Astyanax mexicanus: one gene and its partners. The protein of the gene in region 2 purifies or fractionates together with the protein of the main gene of each other region. This does not show direct contact. Links are inferred from orthologs where the notes say so. Each region holds a gene or a part of one and is shown on either strand. Other genes may lie near its edges.

Evidence for each region. The genes of interacting proteins can lie anywhere in the genome.
Region 1: the proteins of wdr82 (region 2) and setd1ba purify together in Homo sapiens (affinity purification with western blotting; 4 studies listed by BioGRID, with this or other methods). This does not show direct contact. The link is inferred for Astyanax mexicanus from reciprocal best matches to the Homo sapiens genes WDR82 and SETD1B.
Region 3: the proteins of wdr82 (region 2) and ppp1cc purify together in Homo sapiens (affinity purification with mass spectrometry; 5 studies listed by BioGRID and IntAct, with this or other methods). This does not show direct contact. The link is inferred for Astyanax mexicanus from reciprocal best matches to the Homo sapiens genes WDR82 and PPP1CC.

What each region holds. Positions count from the first base shown.
Region 1 is NC_064427.1:22,483,257-22,490,605, reverse strand, and holds the start of setd1ba (histone-lysine N-methyltransferase SETD1B-A), read right to left. Parts: upstream 3,013-7,349; 5' UTR 1,058-3,012; coding exon 994-1,057; intron 642-993; coding exon 502-641; intron 1-501. UniProt on the Homo sapiens protein: Histone methyltransferase that catalyzes methyl group transfer from S-adenosyl-L-methionine to the epsilon-amino group of 'Lys-4' of histone H3 (H3K4) via a non-processive mechanism.
Region 2 is NC_064412.1:15,876,532-15,884,107, forward strand, and holds the start of wdr82 (WD repeat-containing protein 82), read right to left. Parts: upstream 3,024-7,576; 5' UTR 2,776-3,023; coding exon 2,615-2,775; intron 945-2,614; coding exon 847-944; intron 311-846; coding exon 244-310; intron 1-243. Other genes in the region: heat shock protein beta-7, read left to right, coding at 4,519-4,539, 4,751-4,867, 5,381-5,519, 5,610-5,617; cplane2 (ciliogenesis and planar polarity effector 2), read right to left, coding at 6,834-7,071. UniProt on the Homo sapiens protein: Regulatory component of the SET1/COMPASS complex implicated in the tethering of this complex to transcriptional start sites of active genes.
Region 3 is NC_064408.1:10,500,281-10,508,227, forward strand, and holds the start of ppp1cc (serine/threonine-protein phosphatase PP1-gamma catalytic subunit A), read left to right. Parts: upstream 1-4,935; 5' UTR 4,936-5,169; coding exon 5,170-5,224; intron 5,225-7,947. UniProt on the Homo sapiens protein: Protein phosphatase that associates with over 200 regulatory proteins to form highly specific holoenzymes which dephosphorylate hundreds of biological targets.

The sequences.
Region 1 (7,349 bases), on a different chromosome or scaffold from region 2:
AAAAACACACACACACTGTAAACACTGTAATCACTAACCACCCCCAACCCTAGACTGACCCATCTAGCAGAAGGTACAGGTACAATGGAAGTGCTGGCGGTAAAGTTTTAGCCAGTGATGGAGCTGTCAAAAGTTCCGTCAGGACCACTGTTAGCTCCGACACCTCTGCTGCAACTTTTGTGGATCTCCTATACCTGTTCTCCTGGACCTTCCCTGGACATTTTACTGGGTGTCCAGTGCCTTATCTGAACTTTCTAGACTTCTGGCACCTCTTCTGCCACTTTGCTAAAACTTTATACTGTACCAGTCAAAGTTCTACTGAACATTTACTGGGTTTTTCCAGTATTCAAGTTCTACTAGAACTTTGCTGACACTACTACACCTGTATAAATTCTACTGGACCTTCCTTGAACCTCTGCTACTTCTTTTACTAAAGTCCGCAGAAGCGCTGCTGGACCCTGGCTGAAGGAAGGGTACCAGGTGTCAGTGTGTGAGACTGACCGGTGAGCTGAAGTGCTGCCCATCATATCTGTAGAGCTTGTGGGAACCCGTCCGGAGTGCCGGGTCAATGATCAGCTTGTAGCTTCTCCAGTGATGGCCGCGTCTCTCTCCCGAACTGTTCTCCATCCCGTTCATCGGAGCTGCTCCCATACAAACAATTACACATTATTACACAATGTATACAAACATTGCACATATATACACACAAACACATGGCAACATGGGGGGGGGTCCCACTCACAGAAACACAACTGAGAGAGAGAGAGAGAGAGAGAGAGATAGTGGAGAGACATAGGGAAATAGTGAGAAAGGGATGGTGGAGAGACATAGAAAACCAGTAAGAGAGAGAGATGGTGGAGAAACATAGAGTAACAGCGAGAGATGGTAGAGAGACATAGGGAAACAGAGGGAGAGATAGTAGAGAGACATAGGGAAACAGAGGGAGAGAGAGAGATAGTAGAGAGACATAGGGAAACAGAGGGAGATCCTTACCTGAAGTCCTGCGGTTGTGCTCCTCACTCACCCTGCCTCTATCTCTCTCCCCTGGCCTGGACATTGTTGTGTGTGTGTGTGTGTGTTCTCTCTGCGCGCGGCGTCCTGCTCGAGTCCGTGTGTAACGGTGAAGCGTCGAGGCGCGTGAGTTCGTTCCCGTGCGTCCAGCTCGCGCCGCCGCGCTTTTACATGTTGCGAGCTGTGCTGCGGGCTATATTGCGGGCTGTGCGGGAGCTGAGGGATCCGCGGGGCGCGCGCCTGCACATACTGTGTGTCTCGAGCTGCTTTCTGCTGTCTCTCCCACAATACACCACTACAGCCCCGCGAGCCGCGCAGCCGCAGCACTTTCGCCACAAGACCGAAAATTCGCTTCACGCGCAGAAACCGCGCTAAAAACTAAGATTTCATTCAATTTATCTGCGTAGGATCGCGAGCAGATATGCAGTATTTTCCTACACGTTGTTTTGATCTGCGCTCGCGGTTTGGCGGAATACGGGCGCGCTGGGCGGCGCGTGGAATCTGCGGGATAGATTTACCTGGATGGCAAACAGAAGATGGACATTTCTGTTTATTTAAATATAAAACTCTCCCCGATTTACCCCAACATTAAACACAATTTCATATCAACACATTAAATAAACATATACAATTCTGAATACTGAATAATGTACTGAGAGTTAGTGTACATGCTAGGGTAAAAACCCTGTAGAGGGTTTAACGCTCTAGTTTTAGTTTTATTATCCATTAACTACAATCTCTAATTAAAACTGTGTAAAATTCACTATATCTTCTCATATTATATTACTGTTAGCTGTATGTATTACTTTTATTTACTATTGCTATTATTGTATTATTTTGGTCAATATTTAGTTTTAGCTTAATTTTAACTTTTCTTTTACCCACTTTAATTGATCAATGTATTCAGCCTCGTTATTAACGAACTGTTCATTTGGTCACCTTATATTATTAGATTGTTTTTAAAGGGGTTTTAACTTGTTTTGTTGTTTTTCTCTTGTTTAAAGGTGCATAAATATTATTTGTATTTAGTTTTTTTCTTTCAATCCCTGTCATTTAGAATAAGGGTCACCCTCAGTGTGAAAATAAAGACTGACGTACTGACTAATTAATGGATTGGTTCATTTATAACAGTGTTTTCCTCGTGAAACCCGCACTGTGTGTTAAATGTGGTGTTTCTATTGTATGTGTTTTATACATATATGTGTGTGTGTATATATATATATGTTTGTGTGTGTGTGTTTTGAGGGCAGTTGGCTGGTTAAAACAGCAGAGCCGGTTCTGTCCAATCAGAGAGCATCAGCATCGCCTCTTCGTTTTCCACCCGTTTACGCCAAAACTCCGCCTCCTCCGTACTGTGATTGGCCGCTGCTTCGCGCTGGCGGGCGCGCGTCCAATAGACGACCCCCGAGTACCCGCTAGGCGTCAGCCAATGCCCGAGCGGGGGGCGGGCCCTGCCGGAAAGCGGGCGAGATTAGAAACAGCGCATGCGCCGCTCCTATTAGAGCCCCAGCCTGCAGCTCGTGCAGCAGAGAGTGGGAGCGCTGAGCTCGCGCTCTGAGGCCTAATGCGGTTCCTTTGTTCCTAAAAGGATCTAAAGCTTCATTCCAGCTCCTCATGACGGACTATCACACATACTGTCTCTCTGAGTGCAGGATATCTGAGAAGAAGGAAGAAATGTTGGACCGAATCCCTTTGACATTTTTTAAACTTGTTCTCTTTTTTCCTCTCTCTTTCTCTCTCTCTTTTCTCTCTTTTTCCAGGAATCCATCTTTGTCCTGGCAAACTAGGTCATGGCACACCCATATCACAGCATTTTACTCTACTTTCTCACAGTGAAATGCTACTGAATAAACAGCTGATTGACAAAAACAAACGTTTTAGAAAGAAAAAGAGAAAAAAATACACATGCAAATGTTACCATCAGCTGCGTAGGCAGGCCCTCCCCTGCGCAAGGCCGAGCATGTGAATGTGCCTAAGAGTAAGTTCACTATTATCTTTATTATTATTATTATTATTATTATTATTATTATTATTATTATTATTATTATTATTATTATGTATAGATGTGTCAATGTGTATTCATATATAAATATATTTTATTACAAACTTCACTTGGATTGGCTGTTTTATTATTTACCATTTTTAATTTCTTTTGTATTGTTTTATATCTCTGGTCCCTCAGGATACATGGCACTGAGTGATGGCTGCTCTCTACCTTTCTCATTTTTCTACACTCAGCCTGCTGTTTATCTATTTAAACTCATTTCAGAGGAAACAGAAAAAAAAATCAGGCCAGAGGAAAAAAGGTCGACGGCCTTTCACAAAGGAAAGGAAGAAATGCTGAATCACAGCCTGTGGTTGTTCTGCTAAAACCCTGTAACTCGTTTTACAGAAACTGCCACTGTGTTTTTATTGATCAGCCTGTTTATTCAGTTGATTAATCTCCTAGTAGTGTTTACTACAGTAAAGGACTTTTTCAGGATTATGTAATGATATTAATAATCCATCAGTCGTACTTCAAAACAAAAAATAAGACAATTAAAATTCTTTCTAAAGCATTCTTAACCCGTTTGACCTTGAGTCAAGGGCACATTCTCATATCTGTAATTTTCCCCTCATCCTGCAGAACATTATCTACCCTGCTGCTGCTGAACCACCGAGATCAGCCCGAGAACACAACCCGTAAAAAGCCCATTGAGGATATTTACCTTCGCCTTTCTGCTGAAATAATTTTATCAGGCCTAAAGGCAGGAGACTGTACGCTTTCACTCCCATCGCCGTCCTGTAACTCGACTGATTTAGATAAAAGGAGGTCAGACCCGCTCTAAATCCTCCTTTATCAATTCATATTAAAAATAAAATATCAGCAGTGAAGGAGCCACAGAGCGCAGACTGAGGAGCCAAACTGCTGCAAATCAGCTGCAAAAATTACTTTTACAGAAAATAGATATGCAAATCATCTCTCTCTCTTTTTCCTTCTCACTGTCTCCTCGCCCTTCCTTCAGTCTCTCTCTCTTTTTCCTGCTCAAGCATTTGCTGTTCATTTTTTAGACAGCAGCATGTTCACATTTCCATCTGTGGGCTGGGGACTGCCTGTTTTTATTGATAAGGTAACAATGATGACAATAAAAAACATTTTACTGTTATATAGCCATTAGGCATAGGAATAACATTATTTTTACCATACCTGCACATACTTTGCACTATACACATACTGTTTTATGTTAATCTTATATATATATTTTCAATTGGTTTGTTTTTCTTTGCATTTCTTAATATTTTTATGTACACATAATATTAGATTGTTAATGCTCATTTATGTACTTCTTTCTGCAATAGGTACATTTCCTTTTAATAAAGTGATCTTTCTGCCAATCTGTTTATCTTTAAATCCATCAATCTTTTTTATCTGTTTATTTCTTATCTAAGTATAACTACAGTGTGTGTGTACTTTAATTAAAGTGGAGGAGCTCAATCATGTGCCATCTGAGCATACAATATGCATATATATGCATATTTGTGTAATTTTATTTATGTTTAATATGCTTACATAAATGAATATTATGGGATTTAAGCCGAATTATGTTTATTACATTCTTTATAAAGGGTATTGTGTGCATTTTATACTTTAACAAGTGTTCAAATGAAGTTAAAATCAAGATATCAAGATTTAAATTATTTTAGCATTTATTTAACTTTACTGTGTGTTTTTAGGTGGTATTAGTGTGTGTGTGTGTGTGTGTGTGTGTGTTCAGTTCTGTTTAATGGCGGATCTGCTGCTGCTGTGCTGCAAAATGGCGCCCTTCCCCTCAACAACAGCACCATTCACTATTCACCACATACTGCCCAGACTATACCCTCTAGAAATTAGTGTTATAGTGTGTTTACAGTCATTTTCTGAGGTAAATTTAACAGGAAAAATGCGATATATTGTTAAATCCACCGAGTTACTGAACTGAAAAAAAAAACACGTTTTATGTAGTAAAAAACATTTTCTGAGGTAAATATCTCGGTGCTTTACAACCGCCTGTTTTTGGATAAACTCGCATCAAATGCTTTATTTCTTGATTGTGTCACCATTTTTAACTCGAAACAGCCTTGAATTAGCTTGTTTTTCGAATATCTCGTTCCACCTTAAATTGTCCAGCAGTTACATTCAGGCGACGTCGCGGCGCTTGAATGTAACTGCTGGATCATTTAAGGTGGAACGGGCGATTTGAAAAACAAGCCGATTTGAAAAACAAGCCAATTTGAACTTTGTCCCATTTCTTTAAAATGATGTAATTTATCACTTTTCTCTAGGAAAAGATATAAAAATATATTATAATTAATCCTCGTGCGTTTTCGAAGCACATTTAACCCGTGTGGAAAGTGTAGGTTAAATGTCCTATTAGTGGGTATGTCAGCTGGCTAAAATGTTATTTTTAGAACTATAGCTCACATTATAGCTCACAATATTCATAACAAAAACAATGGTAAAAATGAGATATATAAAAAAAGATTTAACCACTTTTCGATTACAGTTGTGAGCTGATGAGAATAAAAACACAAATCAACAACATGCATGGTTTCTAAAGCTTATAAAATGATAAAAAATGTGATGAAATGTGCCAAAATCAGGGGTAAACATTTACCTCCCTTGCCTTGCCTAATGAACAAAACAGCTTTCTGAGAGACTAAGCTTTACCCTCCCTCTTTCTCTCTCTCTCTTTCTAGAACATTCTGTGCAGTTGCCTTCTATGGCCACTAGCTGTGTAGAATAGTGTGTGCAGCAGAGAGAGAGTGTGAACACACACACACACACTGTGTTCCTGTTTTTACTGAATGTGTTAAAGGGAATTCCACCTTAAAATGTTAAAATTGTGCAATTCATGAAAATATCACTACGACCCAAATAGCACATAGGTCTCAAAAGGTCTTTTAAAGGTCTCATTCCATCTTTATTCATTCATTGTAAAATCTCTAGTTGTGGTATCTAGTATGAATAAATGCCATGTGAACTGTTTTTTTGCGGAAAAAAGTGCTCTGATGATCCAGTAAAATGTTCTTTAGTCCTGTGGACAAGTGTGTGTGTGCAAACATATTGCCTCTGTTTTGCTAACAACACTGCATCCACAGAGGTGGGTAGCCCAGGTCCAGAAGGTACAAATCCATTCATGGATTTTTTAAGTTTAACTAGTGTAAGCAAACTGTTCTAAACATACACCTACCTCTCAATTGTACTTCACTGGTAGTGTTCCATAGACAGTTTCTAACCATTTGTTTCTTAGCTCTGAATTACTGGGCAAAGCATATAACACTGATGTGTTATTGGCACAAATAACACAGGAACAAACTGCCATGTTCCTAATGCTGTTAGCTCCTATCTGACAAGACATGTAGCTGCCTGGCCGCCTGCCTAGCTTTAGCTCCGCCTGTAGGCGGTCACGAGCCAAGGTGGGCGAGGCCATGAATACTAATTCCCAGGTTGACGCAGATAGGTTGCTTTTCCTGATCGACTTTTACTAGCTACTGCAGACAATGGAGTTTGAAGAAAGGTTTCATGTGCAGCATTTATATACAACTCAGAGAGACCTATTGTATTTTACAAGGAACAAGAAAAAGTGAATTTTAGCAGAAGGACACCTTTAATGTTGCCAATAAAAAAGCAACCTTTAAGCAATGGTGCTATTCAATGTTTTATCAGAAGTCAACGATCCAGCATGTTGTGTTAACTTACCAGTGCCCAAGTTCACTCCGTAAATCCTGGATTGAGGTGAAATAAAGTATATTTGCCTGATATACCTGTCTTGCAGATATTTAACTGGAAATGAAAACACAGCAAAGGAACATTGAATCAACATTGATTCCACATTGTGCTTTTAACGTTAAACAACGTTTAGAACTTCTACCTATAATAACTTTTGACCATAGGAAACCCCAAAATCCAACATTAATTTACCTGCCTTTGCTATCTGGGAACTATCTGTTTTTCATTCTTCTACTAAGGCCAAAAAATTGTACCAGGGAGCAACTTTTTTGCTATTTGAAACAAAAGTAAAATTCTATTTTCCAATTAAATATCAGCAAGAAAGATTATATCAGGCAAATATAATTTATTTTACTTTAATTGTGGATGTATGGAGCACATGGTACCAGGATATGTTGGATCATTGACTTCTGTTAAAAGTTTTAAAAAAATATCCTGCATTTTGAAATATCACTATATATATTGCAGACAAAACAACTAATGTCCATTTTTGCCAATTTCGTGCAGCCCTAACCAGTACCTCAAAGTTGATAGGTGTGTAGATATCTTGTGCGATCTCTCTGACTAGTCAAAAGCATTTTAGCCAGCT
Region 2 (7,576 bases):
TCATAAGACTCAAAGGAATTTCTAATGTTCAGACTGACATTTAGCTCACAGTTCATACATATAAAGGCCTTATTCTACAAGTTTTGGAAAGCAGAGAAATGGAACAGAATATGGCAGAATAAGAGCAGATTTTGTACTAAACATTGTGTCTGCACGCTACGCTACAATATTTTCCATTCCCCTTTAAGCAGAACAGTCCATTGACAAAAAAAGCAGCCTTAGCTCAGTATTGATGATCCTCACCTCTTATTGTGTCCGGGAAAGTAACGAATATACTTATTGTCGTGTAGAGACAGGTACCGTATAGTGTCTGTAATCAAGTAAAAGTGAAAAAAGTCAGAAACAGCTGCAAGTTTTTAATACTGTTACAGAGACTGCACATTCTTATAAAATTCAAAAACAGACGACATTAAGCTCTATTACGACCTCTGGCTGTGAAACTGAAAAAGCTAAGTGTGATCCACTATAGCAGTTCTGAAACTCCAGGTTGACTTTTAGATGAGTTGGCACCACCCTGGGCAAGGCAGTAGTCTGTACAGTTAGCTCCTTGAAAGGGCAGAATCACAGACCCTCAAACTGTACAAACAACTACCTCAAGCCAGAGAGGGCACAGTCAGGGAGCCCCGAACAATCGGTCAGTACAAGGACGACAGCGAGCTTGATTATACTTACCCTTTATACTCTTAACTGGGAAAAAACAAACAATACAATCACAAACAGGGGAAAGAGCACTAAACATATTGCGGGGGGAGCATTACTAACCAGAGGATTATCAATATGACAAGCAGAAAGTCACACTGAACAACAACACAACACACAAGTTCTTAAATGAATAAAACAACATACCATCAATTTTGTTGGAGCTGTAGACGACTGTATTGGCAGCATGTGTGTATCTGATGAGGTCCACTCCATACTTTTTACTGTACAGTGTCCGTTTAGGCCTGGATTTAAAGTTTGGGAAGAAAATATTCTGTTTAGGGGAATGACACAAACTACTGACTTTCCACTAAAAGTTAAATGTTTATATTAATTAAATCTACCCTGTTACAAAGTTATATTTTTTGTGATAAATTTTGCACATTTTGTCCTTGATTTTTCACAATACTGTTACTTGCACTTCTGAAAGATGCTAACTATGAGCAATGAGAAAGTTGAATATACCCATAACTGAAAGAACACAAGACTAGAGCTGGACATTGCATTACGTTGCATTACAAACAGCATAAGCAGTGTCAGATTCTTAAATATTGCTATACACGCTCAAGCATAGCCAAGTCGTTTTTGTCGTTCATTTTTTGTAGCACTTCATCTAGTTAATAGGAGTTAATTATGCTTCTTGTTATGACAGTGTTCTGTAAACAGTTAGTATCCTCGATATGCTTGAAAAAAAAAAGCATATTGTTATATTAGGGGTGTGCTATATTGTATAGTACACAATAGAATTTGGTCTTGAAAGCAGACTATTATTTATTTTGTCACTATTCTTTGTAGAATAATATTCTGCACCATTTATTTTGTCACTTTATTATCTTTTTAGAAAATCAAAGTTCTGGTAAGACATTTTTTTTTTACAAAAGAGACAAACAGTTGTAGATTTTTTGTTTGTGCTGACTGTTTAAAACCCTGATACAATAAAAATTAAACTTTTGACATTTGTGTCAAAATTATACTTCTTAGATTAATAAAATTTGTGTTCTTTATAGACAAGAATATTGTTGTCGTAAATATATTGTCATATTTTAGGGCCACATTGCTCACTCCTATTCCTTATCAATATGATCAAATATTGTCATTAAGGGTGTGTCATATCGTATCATATGCAATAATATGGACAACATTTTTGAATATCGTGAACAATAATGTACCCTTATATATCATGCCATATCACCCACCCCTAATTATCACATCAGGGTACTACATTTTTGCTGTTTTTAGCAAAAGAAAAATTCACACTGTTCTCATTTTCCCATTATATATCTACTTCAATATAATTCATTTTACTTCAGTCCTGGATATATGGAGCTATTTGGAGTGCATTATTAGTATCATGACATTCTGATAGATCTGATAAAACTCTTATATTTTTAATATTTCAGTTAGGGGTGTGTAATATCAAATTGTATGCATTAATACAATTGAAATTTTCATAAAAACATTTATTTATTCCGTGTTTTGTCATATCACTATCGCGAAAATACCATGAAACACCGTGATAATATTTTAGGGCCATATCGCCCACCTTTAGTGTTGGGCGCTAAGGCGGGTAAACAGAGCCGGAGAAGCGTGGATCTCAGCTAGCTTAGCTACACCCTGCAATCCCTCAACATTAGCCAGCTAGCTAACTCTTTACCTAGCTACTTAGCTTAGCCACTTAGCAAAATATCACACAGCTGTGATGAACCCGAGGGCTTTTATAAACAGATACACGCCCCGTCAACATTTAATCACTCCAGGCTTCCAATAGCACCAGATTTTCTTTCTGTTAGCAGGAACTCGTGGTCCGTCTAGCTAATCTACTCGAGGCCGAGGCTTTGTGCGGCAGTAGGCCTCACAGACCCACACTGCGGAAATCCGCGCACCGGGACGGGCTTCACACAGACCGCTCACTTACTTTCCCTCCTGGCAGTCGTACAGTACAATCGAGTCGTCGTCGCTGCTCGAGATCACCGTCTCTCCGTTCGAGCTGAAGTCGAAACAGTTGATTTTGTCGGAATTCTCCCGGAACACCTTCGCGACCCTGAAGCTCCGCAGAACATTGTCAGTGAGCTTCATGCTGGCGGCCTTGCTTTATGCCTGGCCAGGCGCAGGCTGCTCTCAGATTGCGGTCAGGGAGGACGGCTGTGTTCGGGGAGCGGTGGAGAAAGTGTTAGAGGGCTCTGTGTGGGTCTGTGAGGCTTGTGAATGGAAGCGGGTTGAGTTACGGGTTTCTGGCAGGTAAAGAAAAGCCCGCCCTGGCAGCGCTGCGGTGAACTCGGTAACGGAAGGTGTTTCCTACGGGTGGTGAAGTTGGAAGTCACTCCTTCTGCAAAATGGCCGATACGCTCACAGTAGTGGCATTTCATAATAAAAGTCCTGCTACTGGAAAAAAAATATATACTGAGCTTCTAAAACCAGTTCTTTAGTGGACCTAGAGAGGGCGCCGATTGGTCAAAAGAATGATAAATAAATAGTTACAAAACTTTTTTTTTATTTTAATTATCTAATATTATAAATTTATTACAATAAAATTTTATAATGAAGCTTTTTTATTTTTTTAACGTTAAAAAAAATCTAAATTAATGTCACGTCATTTGTTAACCGTACTTGCCTTCAAGAAGTGTCGGAAATATCGTATATCACATGAACTCCACCACAAACTCGTATTTACCAGTGAGAAACTCGGGTTTTTAGATAAGCCCCGAGTTTCCCCAGTTGGGAGCGTGTCAGTAACAAGTGGTCAATAAATTAAGTAAACTGATTTAAATTGATAAATAAATTCAATAAATTGATGCAGACACTTCGTATTGTAAACTGCTTAACACTCGAATACTTTGCAGGTTGTTATTAGCTAACCAATAAAATCACCAGCAGTATGTGAAAAAAACGTAAAGGGATTAAACCCAGTTAAAGACTATATTTTCCTTTTAATTGTAAATCTCAATTCCAGATGGTGTGTAATCCAAAACTAGATTTTATATCTGTCTAGGAAACTGCCCCCGTTTTTTTTTTTTTTGTCTCTGCCTTTATATTTAAAGGGATCTGCAAAATCATGTTGTGGGATGAAATGCTCATCAGAATATCCTAGCAGAATTGTACATAATGCATAAATAATTCCAGTCTGTGTCTGAAAGAAGTCCAACAACCTGCTTAATTAGAGTGGATGTGATGACCATTATAGACCATCATTAATAATGCTCGAGGTGAGAGAAGACCTAGAATGTCACATCGGTTCTTCAGCTAATACACAACTCTATTTCTGTAGGGTTGCTCAGCTGGGGACTATTTCACAAAGCAGGGATTCTTAGTAAGCCAGATAAACTAAGCCCTGAGTCAAGCCTGCCTAATGGCAGAAGAGCTGGAGAACATTTTCTACTGCATGTTATTCCACTATCTGAGTTAGCTTTGCAGAATACCCCTGAACACTTTTCACCAATATTTGTAATTGGAAGTTTCACACCTTGTATCCTCTGATTGTGAGTCATATAAATTGGAACATTATTAGTTGTACAAGCTGATCTCTCCAGTGTGTGATAAATACTGCACACAGACATCATAACCTCACTCTTATTCACAGCTATGAGGCTCCTAGCACTCACAGCAGCCTACAATAAAAGGGACTTTAAAGCCCTGAGGGAACTCAGTGCAATGCTCTAGGAGCTTGTGATGGGTTTTTTGTTTTTGAGTCAAAGCTTTTGTTTTTGTGTGTAAGGCACTAATGCGTCACTAGGCTGAATTTTACAGTACTTTTTTTTTTTTTTACCGTTTTAGGAATAGAAAAGCCTATCTGTTTTCCAACTACTTAAGAAAAATATCAGAATGTCAGAAGATTATCTAAAGGTGAGTTTTTTCATCTATGCTTGCTTATTGCTATATAGATCAGAGCTTGCTTGTACAGTCAACTTTTAACACTGGAAATACGATAAAAGAATGCAGCCACAAATTAAGTAGGCTAAGACAGCCAATAAACCTGTGTATTTACAGCAACAGGTGTTTTCTGTTATTGCATGCACTTAAGTAGCAGAGCTATGTTCATATCTGTTTTCTAAAGGAGGAAATGTGCACTCTTGGAGACACATACATGTTCACAGTGGACGTGAGTGCATTCTCGCCAGAACAAGTCATTGTTACCTCATCACAAAACATCATTCAGGTTTCTGCTGAAAAGGTAAGCAAAAGCATAGAGTAATCTAACACGTATTCTGTGTGATTCCATACCAAGAAAGATCAAGGATATTATTGTGAAACCCTTTGGAAATACATTTAAAAGTTCTTTATTTTGTTGCACTTGATAGAAGTCCTTCAATGAGAATGGGGTAGGATGCTGACACTAATTTGTAACATTAATATGTTGCTTATGTTTGAGTTATACTAAGTAAATAATATTTGCTATATAAATAATAAGCTTTGTAGTGCACAAATGGTGACTTTATTGCAAGTAATCGTGGAATTAAAACATTCCAAAACTACCATGTCACCACTTTTTACCATGAAAAACTATTTAGTAAAATATTTTATTTCATTAATTTACTGCTTAAAGAAGACATTAAGTGTTTAAAAAACTATAGATCAGAAGTATATATACAGTTTACTATACAACTTGAACATGAACCTATTAGTTAAATACATTTAGAAGACATACATTTTTGTCTCATTGTAATATTCTGCTTTTATTTCTCAGCTGGCATCAGATGGTACCGTCATAGACACATTTTTCCACAAATGGCAGTTTCCTCCAGATGCAGACCCCATGTCAGTGAGCTCATCCTTGGGGCAGGGTGGTGCACTTACAGTTACAGCTTTTAAACACAAGACAAAAGGTAAGAAAACATATTTTTGTCAATTTAAATTTTAATGCATGGATTTCTACCCTTGCAGAATATTTTTTTTCTTTCTCTATATGATTGCAGTTAAGTGATCCATACACCTTTATGATGGCCTTGACTGAAGACTGAAGAAAGGCACTTCAAATTATTCCAATAAATAATATAAACATTTTGAGATGCTTTATTTTAAATGCAACAACAATCAGTACATTAAAAAAGTGTGGTGACCAATGTTTGAACTACTTTAAGACAACTTTCTTATTGCTGTTGATGTAAAAATAGACTGTGCACATTGATGTATTAAAGATTCCCATAATCGATGGCAGAATGGGTTATGAAAGACTATATTGGTAACTATTGGTAAGTGTAAATGTAAAATCCAAATATGTAAATCTTTTGAAATAATAGTTTTTGTGATGTCACAAAGACAGTCACAAAAATACATATAGTATCTGTCAAAAGTTTCTCATTCAATGTTTTATTTTTTCCCCTACATTGTAAATACATACTGAAGTCATCCAGACTATTATGGATCACATAAGGAATCATGTATTAACTTAAAAGTGTTAAACAAAGCCTTTAGGTGGGATTCTGTTAACTTCTGAGGCTGGTAACTCTGATGAACTTATCCTGTGCAACAGAGGTAACTCTTGGTTTTCATTTCCTAGGGCAGTCCTGATGAGAGCCTCTTTTATCATAACATTTTTGATTTTTGATTTGTTTAACTTTTTTGTTTACTAAATAGTTACATATGTTCATCTTCATTGTTTGGATGATTTAAGTATTAATCTACAATGCAGAAAATTAAAAAAATGGAAAAAAACGCCACTGAATTTAAGGTTTGACTGTTATTGTATATTCACCTTTATATTTATATAGTTATATTTAACTGAAAGAAGTTTTACTCCACCCATAAGCACAGTAACAAAAATATTGTTGAAAAATGTACAAGAAATGTATACAATCATTTTTGTTTGGTAGAATATATGTCTTTTACCCCTAATTTAACAATGAATAAAGCACAATATCCAACTACACTAGCGTGACATCAGTGACTCGAACCTGAAAATCAGTAATGGTTATTCAGAAGTTGCACTTATAAACATTTACAAGCTAAACCTAGTTGTGGACAATATTTTGCTTCAAATTGAAAATCCCCGTAGTCAGTGTAGTCGACTAGGCTTGATCCCGGTCTGAGGAAACTGTCCCTTAGGGGTGTATCTTTACACTGTGTAAAGTTCTTTCTCCAGGTCCTTCAGCTTGTGATTTGAGATCTTGCACTGTGCTCTGTGATGTTAAACTGCACAGCTACACAATAACCTCTCGGTTCGTATCTTCTGGATGAGGCTGTGGGGGTAGAGAGGCAGATGAGGCGTGAATGCAGTCCTGATGCCACAGGTTTTCTGCTAAGGCATTTAGCAGGGGTGCAATCTCACCAAACCCTTCACTCACATCACCTCCCACCCGGAAGACTGGCACACGAGACACCTCCTGAAAGCGTTTGATCTCACTCTCTGTCACATCTGTGTGCATAAACAAGTCAAATCTGTTCAATCTGAGTTAAGGGCAATGCTTTTTTTTGAAGGTCAGATTCTTTTGGTCAGAGCTTCTTTCTTCCTTAGTTTTTGTACAGAAATTACTCAAGCAAACAAACATCAGCATAAGATGGAGGAAAAAAATATCTAGACTGATGGGTGTGAACAGAAACACACACTGTCAGTTCTCACAATATGATTGTTGTATTATTGCAATATGTTGCTCACAATAGCAAGGATATCAGAATACTGTGACTCAGCGATACTCGATATATATCGCAAGTCAATTCTCTATGACATTTTACATAATCTGTGCTACAGAACAGAATAAAATACTCCTAAATAATACTACTAATTAATGGTAAATAAAATGAATAAATTAATACAAATATTAATATTTTGCCACAAATCAGTGTATTGCAATATCAATCTTTTGTCCCACACTTACTCAGTCAGTACATACACTGAAATCGTTCAAACGTAAATCGTTAAAATGTCCACCTATCAGAAGTGATT
Region 3 (7,947 bases), on a different chromosome or scaffold from region 2:
ATCATCAAAGGCAAGTTTTCGTCTACAGACTCCTCAAAAGTAGTGAAACGTGAAGACCTGTTCTTCTGATTTGGCTCCACGTGCAAGACATCTGATGTTTAGCATCAAAAAATGAATAGAAGATAACCAATAATTCCTGCATTCCTTTTCTGGTATTTTTATCTAAATGTCTTAAAAAACTTAATACCCAGTTTCTATTGCTGGTAGCTGTTTTTGGATGGTATAAACTGGCTTTGATGGCCAAGGTGGTTGAAAAGCTGCTCATCCAGAAGAATCTACAGTATGTTGCATTTTATTTTGGTCATGCTTGACCATTTTGATTATGCTGGTATACAGGCTACATGTGCATGTATTACAAAACCCTTTTTCTCTGCCTTAAAATAAGTTATTTGCATTCTGAAAACTTTGCGGGCTTTTTCAGTGTCACGCCTGGCGCCGAAAGAGCTCCTGTCCCTTCCACACTTAGATTTACTTGCGATCCCTAGTCTCTGGACTACTATCCCCAGAATGCACAACACACTGATGTCACTCCCTCTCACAATCACGTCACTGTACGGGCACCACCAGGAAGTCAATCACCGGAATATTGATTACACCTGTGTACACCCATATATATATATCTTCACTATACACACACCCTACTAAATATTGTAAGTTTAACACATACACATACAACTTGTTTATCCCATTGCCTGTGTTACCCTCTTGTGTAAAATTTTGTTTTGTTTTGTTTTTTTAATTCGGCTTCTGCGTACCATTTGATACCTTCTGCTCGTGTATGACCTCATGTAGAACTGAATCTTTTTTATGGTATGTTTGCTCTCTGTTGCTGTTGTATACTGGTGTTGTCCCTTAACATTTTGACTATCCCCTGTACCACTACTTTCATTAATAAACCATCTTATTTGTATCCTGTAAAGCCATCACGGACAGTAAAATGTCTTATCAAACATGAAACCTTTTTATTTAATGCTTGAACAGAAATCCTCCAGATTCAGGCATGTAATATAAGGCAGAAAATTGTCAAAAATGCTGGCCTGTTAAGGGGTTAACCAGCTTAACCACCTTCAGCTGGTCATGCTGTTTATTTTTCAGCTGGGTACAGGGCAATTCTGGTGTCACACCACCCATTTTTAGGTGTTTAAATCCTATTTATGGTAACATCTCAGACTTGGAGGCAGGATGTAAATGCAAGGAGGTTTTAATAGATGCCATAAAGCAAAATAGCAAAGAATAAAACAAAGCTGAGACTAGAAAAGTAACTAAAAAATATCTAGACTAAGATCATACTTTCAATAACTGAAGAAAAACCACTAGCAAAAACATAATAAAAAAAAACACTTTCAACACCTTCAGACCTGAATTATGTTTCAGTGACAGAATATTATATGAATGCTGTTTTCTGTCTGTAATGTATGCACAGAAAGACAACAAAACAACAAAAACATTAAATTCATTTTAACGTCCATTGTATTGGATTGCCTGTTAACATTTTTATTTTATTTATGATAATGACTTTGATAATAACCTCCTGTAAACAGTGAAATAAACGTAATAAAAAGTTCTATCACATAAAATTAGGAAAAAAGACCCTAGTGGTGGGCGGGAATATTCTACTGTTTCATTAGCTTGCAAACTTCTTATTGACTGGTTCATGATCTGTTCTGATGGACAACAGGTCTCAATTAGTGTAATGTGCAGCAAAACATCAAACAAAAATAAATGATGTCCATTGCAATGGACACAGGATCTGAAACAATGTTTTAACTAATGCAGTGTATAACCAGTAGGTGGCACAAGATCTACATCTATTCATTTTCCCATAAGCAGCTGTGTGGAACTCACCTGAGATCCTTCTCACTAGAGTTAACCACTGAAAAATAGGCTCGAGCTGGATAAACTTACTGACCAGTTCTGCTCTTTATTTACATAAAGTAAGCATAAACAAGCAAGCTGATCAGCATGACCAGCAAGACTCATCAGGTCAACCATCACAACCAGCTTGACCAACATCACTATTCTGGTCAACCAGCATGACTGAAATGCAGCAGTACACACTATACTGGTCAAGATTTGGTTCCCCAGTTTTTGATTGGATGGCCAACATTTCAATCAAACTCAACTCAACAACTCAACCATCAAAGGTTAGCTTAGACTTCAAAAATACAGCCTTCAGCAAAAGCATGAATTGTAAATAAATTGTAAATGTAAAAACGTGTTTTTATTAATCATCTTTCAAATCCAAATGCTATAAAGAAATAAACACAGAAATTAAACCTCTGCTTTTGAGTTGGTTTTGTTTTCTGTTCTTTTCTAATAAACACGGACACTTGCAGATACTCACAGACGTTTATTTGATAAGGGGATAGGCTTACAAGAGTAGTGAGGGGCAGGCAGGGTCAGTAACAGAATGGCACGAATGTAAACAACATACCAGAGAAAATTATCAGGCAATCTAGGGTCATCCATGAAAAATCCTGCAAACAAAAAGAAGAAGGCAAAAGGGAGTCAAATATACAAAAATAAGGTCGGTAGCAAGGTAATGAATAGAATGGGCAATGGTAATATAAAACAGGTTGGTAAAAAAAAAAAGGAAAAAGCCATGGGATGTGTCATAGGAGAGCTAGAAAAAATAGATTACTAAATACTCAGCAAAGAGCGAGCCAAACTAAGGGGTATATATACAGGGAAGAGCAGGTGAAAACAATCAATAGCTTGGAGAGCAGGAACACTGTAGCATCACGTGATCAGTAGTGTGAGAGAAGTCCAGTGTTGGGTGTATGCTAGGAAATGAAGGTTTTAGGGACAAGTTCAGAGCCTGGAGCAGACAAGCCAGATGGAGAAAAACTAGTTTAAGTGATTGGAAAACTTGCATTCCTCATTGGAGTGAAGAATTCAGGGTGCTTTCAATGTTTGAACAGGCAGTAAACATCACTTTGAACTGCTAATTGCTGGTTAACCGCCCGACCCTTTTACATCTGAAAAACAGCACAAAAACATATTATTATTATGTCTCCTCTCTACAGATTAAATGTCTTTTATTATTGTTTTTGTCTACATGATAGCCTTTACAGTTATCTGCATTTCTGCATGAATGTGATTAGAACCTTCTAAAAGAAGGTAAAGTAAACCAAATAAAACAAATGCTGCAATAATATTAATGCTTTTACATTTATTTATGAAATAAAATTGTTGAAAATTAAATATCTTTGTTTGAAAAAGTATATGAACCATTGCTTTCAGTAACTTGTGTGACTTGAGGCTTGGGGATTGGAAAACATTTTGTATTTCTCCCAATTTAACCAATTATTAAGCTGCATTTACACTGTACTGCCATGTCAATGCATATAAATGCACTGCCCCGCTCCAACTGGTTGCATGTGGGCGTTACAATGACATTTCGTGGGTTGTACATTTAAATCAATTTAATAATTGTTGGTTAATGGTTTAATACAAGCTTTATTTCCTATTTCCTATTATTTTCCTGATCAGAGTCCCTGTAAATCAGCAGGGATTGATCATAAAAGACTGGAAAGCCCGAAAACGCAATTTCTATCGTTTCCTCCATGCATTTGAAACCGTTTAAAACCATTGTGTTCGATAGATCCATTTGCATAAACTTCACCTCGCAGTGGAACAGTGTAAATGCATTACACAGCATTAAAAGATCCAATCATGTATTTGGGGTCATCGTCCTGCTGCATGACCCACTTCACACGAATCCATACAGATCCATTGACCATTTCTAAAGTTGTAATTTCAAAAGTTAGATTTTGACTGACTCTTTTGACTGTCTGTCTGCCCGTGCCTGTATACGTCAGTGTTGATGCTGATTAAGGACATTATTCAGAGACTCCATGTAATGATATTCAGCTACTTTCAGGTGTCCCCCTCACTGCTGACACAGGCTTGTTCAGTTTTGTACCCGCAGAAAGAGGAAAACATTGGCAACAGAATGGGATGCTCTGCACATGCTCTGCAAGGTCACAGTGTGCCTAGAACAAAACACTAAATAAACTGCTCCACAGAGCTGACGGATGTTTTAGTTGTAGCTTTAATCTTTAAATATAGTTCACCTATGCTGTTTCACTAAACTGACTACATTTAAATTGTTTACACACATTTTTATAGCTCTATGAAGTAAATAAAATATGATTTTAGGTGTGTATTTATTAGGATAAGATTGGGTGACACTATTTGTGGACACCCCTTAAACCCCAGCTTAAGGTGTATCAATTGCTGACACTGGATGTTTACACCAGGAGTGGCATAAAGTTATCCAAAAGCAGTGTGTAAGACTGGTGGAAGAGAACATGCTGAGATGCATAAAAACTGTGATTAAAAAACTGAGTTATTCCACCAAATATTGAATTCTGAAACTCTTAGAACTTTATAAATATGAACTTGTTTTATTTGCTTTATTTGAGGTCTGAAAGCTCTGCATCTTTTTTTTTTGTCTCAGCCATTTCTCATTTTCTGCAAATAAATGCTCTAAATGACAGTATTATTTTATTTGGGACTTGTGAGAAATGTTGTCCGTAGTTCATAAAATAAAACAACAGTGTTTATTTTACTCAAACGTATACCTATAAATAGCTAAATCAAAGAAACTGATTCAAAAACTGAAGTGGTCACATAAAGTGTCATTTGATTGTCTTAATATTAATTTACAATGTAGCAAATAAATGAAATAAATACAGAAAAACACCTAATGAGAAGGTGTGTCCAATTTTTTGACTGGTTCTGTATAGCTACTGTATTATATAAGTTATATTAATACATTAATAATTTGTAAACTGTGCACTATTTTGTGTGTAGATCCGGTGCTGTAGTAAGGCTGACATACAGGACAGTGCACTGCGAAAGACACTGCTGCCTCCTCTGTCTTGACCAGTGTATTCTTCCGCCACGCCGGCGCCTGACATACGTATTCCTCCGCCCCCGCCCGGCGGTCGACTCGCAGGCGCAGCAGCGCACGGAGGCTGAAGCCGCTCAGGAACTTCTTAAGCTAGCTGAGATAAATGAGCCTGAAACACGTTATTTAGCGTATATTTCAGCCTATAAAATATATAAAACAGGTTTAATGAGGCTTTAGCCGCACATTAGGTGGTAGAACGGTAGATAGGACTATAAGAAAGGTGTATATTTGTGTAGTTTAGCTGGCGAGGTATGGCCGACATCGACAAGCTCAACATAGACAGCATCATTCAGCGCCTTCTGGAAGGTAAGCTGGCTAACTAAACTCAGATTTTAAAGGTTTTAAAAGCTTAATATGTTGAACAACAAGCTAGAACATATCTCACAAGACTGTATATATTTTTAAATAGGATTATTTGTGTGTTAAATTCTAGCTTAAATAAGGGTAGGGGGTCTGTAGCCAGCAGGGTCTAAGCTAAGCTAGGTTAGCTAGCTGGTGGTTAACCTAGCTGACTGTTAGCTTTTGCTGTCAAGCAGGAACATGTTAATAATAAATATCGATGAAAATTCACCCCTTAATTCAGTGTTTATTAGTCCTTTTATAAGTTTTAGTTGTGTCTAATTTGATTACTATTATTTTAAAGACACGATATAAGGAAATAAACAGAATTATTGCCTGTTAACGCAATTTTTAGCTTTGAAACGTAGGAAAATTGACGTATTGTAGGCTAGCTAAATGTCTATAGACGTAGTTTTATTGTCTGAATGCAGTTAACGTTATATATTGTCAAGCTAGTTTTTGTGTTTAATGTTTTAGGGTTTTTCGGGGTTTACAGTTAAAATCTAACTAAGCAATTTATTTTATAAAAGCAACAATATAAAGTAACATAGTAATGCAATTTATGAACTAGAAATATTTGGAATTTGCTATTTTAAGATATTTCTTTCGCTGATATAGATAAGTGACTATTCAGTAGTAATACAAGAAAAACTTTTTATTTAAAATAGCAAGAATAACAGAGTAAGGTCTATTTTGTGGAAGATATATTGTTCCAGAAAGTATTGCAATAAACGATATTATTGTCATTTTAAGACCATTAAATTACTTAAATAATAAGAACAGAATAGGATAACAAAGCATTTAAACACTTTCAAAGACAATACAATTTTAATAAACACATGACTGACTTAAATCATATTAACCAGCTAATTTGAGTGTTTTAAGTGTTTTAAAATTTAAATGTAACTAAACAATTTATTTAAAAAAGCAAAAATATAAAATAATATGACTATACAGTAGAATATCAGTAGTGTGGTTTAATTAATATTAGTACATTATTTTAAAAACTAAATATGAGGAAATGCTCAAAAAAAACAGTAATAAAAAAAAATAATCTGAATAAACTGGGTTTTTTTTTGTATAGGAAATATAACAAATGAACAGGCCTGTTATTATAAAAACAAATTGAGGATGACATAATTGTCCCAGAAATTATTGCGATAGATTACATTTATTGTCAATGCCACGTAAATAATGCGAATAGGACATCATCATAACAAAGCAATTAAACACTTTAAGACAACACAATTTAGTAGTCTAATAGTTAATAGTTAATCTAATAGTTAATCATGATTATAATACTAAAATACTGTTCACTGTTATGTATGTGAACAAACATACAAATAAACACAAATGTTTAATCATGTCCATTTATTGTTATTTTAAAAACAAGATATGAGGAAACGCACAAAATGAAAATATGTATTTTTTTATATAAAATAGCAAAAATAACAGAGTAAAATAAGCCTGTTGTGATCATTTTTTTTGTAGACGATGTATCGACCCAGAAACTATTGCGATAAACAATATTATTGCTATTTTAAGATCATTAAATGCCATAACACTGGCATAATAAGAATAGGATAGCATAACAAAGCATTTAAACACTTTCAAAGACAACACAATTTTATTTAATAATAACTAAAATACTAAAACTCTTGACTGTTGTATACGTGAACAAATATACAAATAAACACAAAAGATGATTATCACAAAAATTAAATGTGTAATATCGTTTTTTTTTTTGGTGCTATTATATTCACAAGGCGATTTGCTTGTTTTTAGGTTGTGGGTTAGTACTGGGCTAGATATTGTTATTTGTGGGATTTTTTGCAGGTCGTGTTGTAGACCAAGTTGCAGAATATACTGCAATTTAAAACTGTATAATTGTATTATTTCTTATGTTCTATTATCTGACAGTTGGCAAAACACTTTACTGACACTTGTACTATGTATGTGACCAATGAACTTTTATTTTTTGTTAAAGAAAACCTACATATAAAATAGCTATAAACAGAATAGGTGATTAGTAAAAATATTGGGTCAGTTAAATAATATAAATACTTAACTAAAAATAAATATCAGTTGGAGGCTGAATGGAGGATGAATATATTAATTTGGCTGTGTTTGTAACCCAATATGATTCTCTGTTTGTCTAATTAAATGTTTGCATATAACATATAGTTGTTGTTAAAACTTATGCTAAAAAAGTACTAAAATACTGAGGCTGACTTAAGTCAAATAACATTTTGCTTTTTGCAGAAAAAAAATTCTATAAATTGACAAAATTATTCTATTTAGCAGCTAATAAATGAACAAAATCATAAAAAGCAGCCTGGGCATCAGTGAATTGTTTATTTTGTTTTCAGGTTAAGCTGATGGAAGTGGAGAATTATTCAGTGAATACTTTATGCTTGTCTTTTTGGGTGGCACTGCAGGGGGTAGCCGACCCACTTTTCTACATGAGATTTGTCCTGTTTAAAAGCTCGGAGCATCTCTCACATCAGAGCTAGCGATGCTGAGGACTGACCAGCAGCTCCAGCAGATTCACTGCTTCGGCTGTACTTTTGGTTCCTGTGTGTCCTGCAGAGCTGGTGGACTATTCCTGGTTTTGGTTTCAGAAAAACGAAAGATGAACCTTCCAGTTTCCTGGAAGAAAATTTACAAGGGGACTGACCACAGCAGTCAGG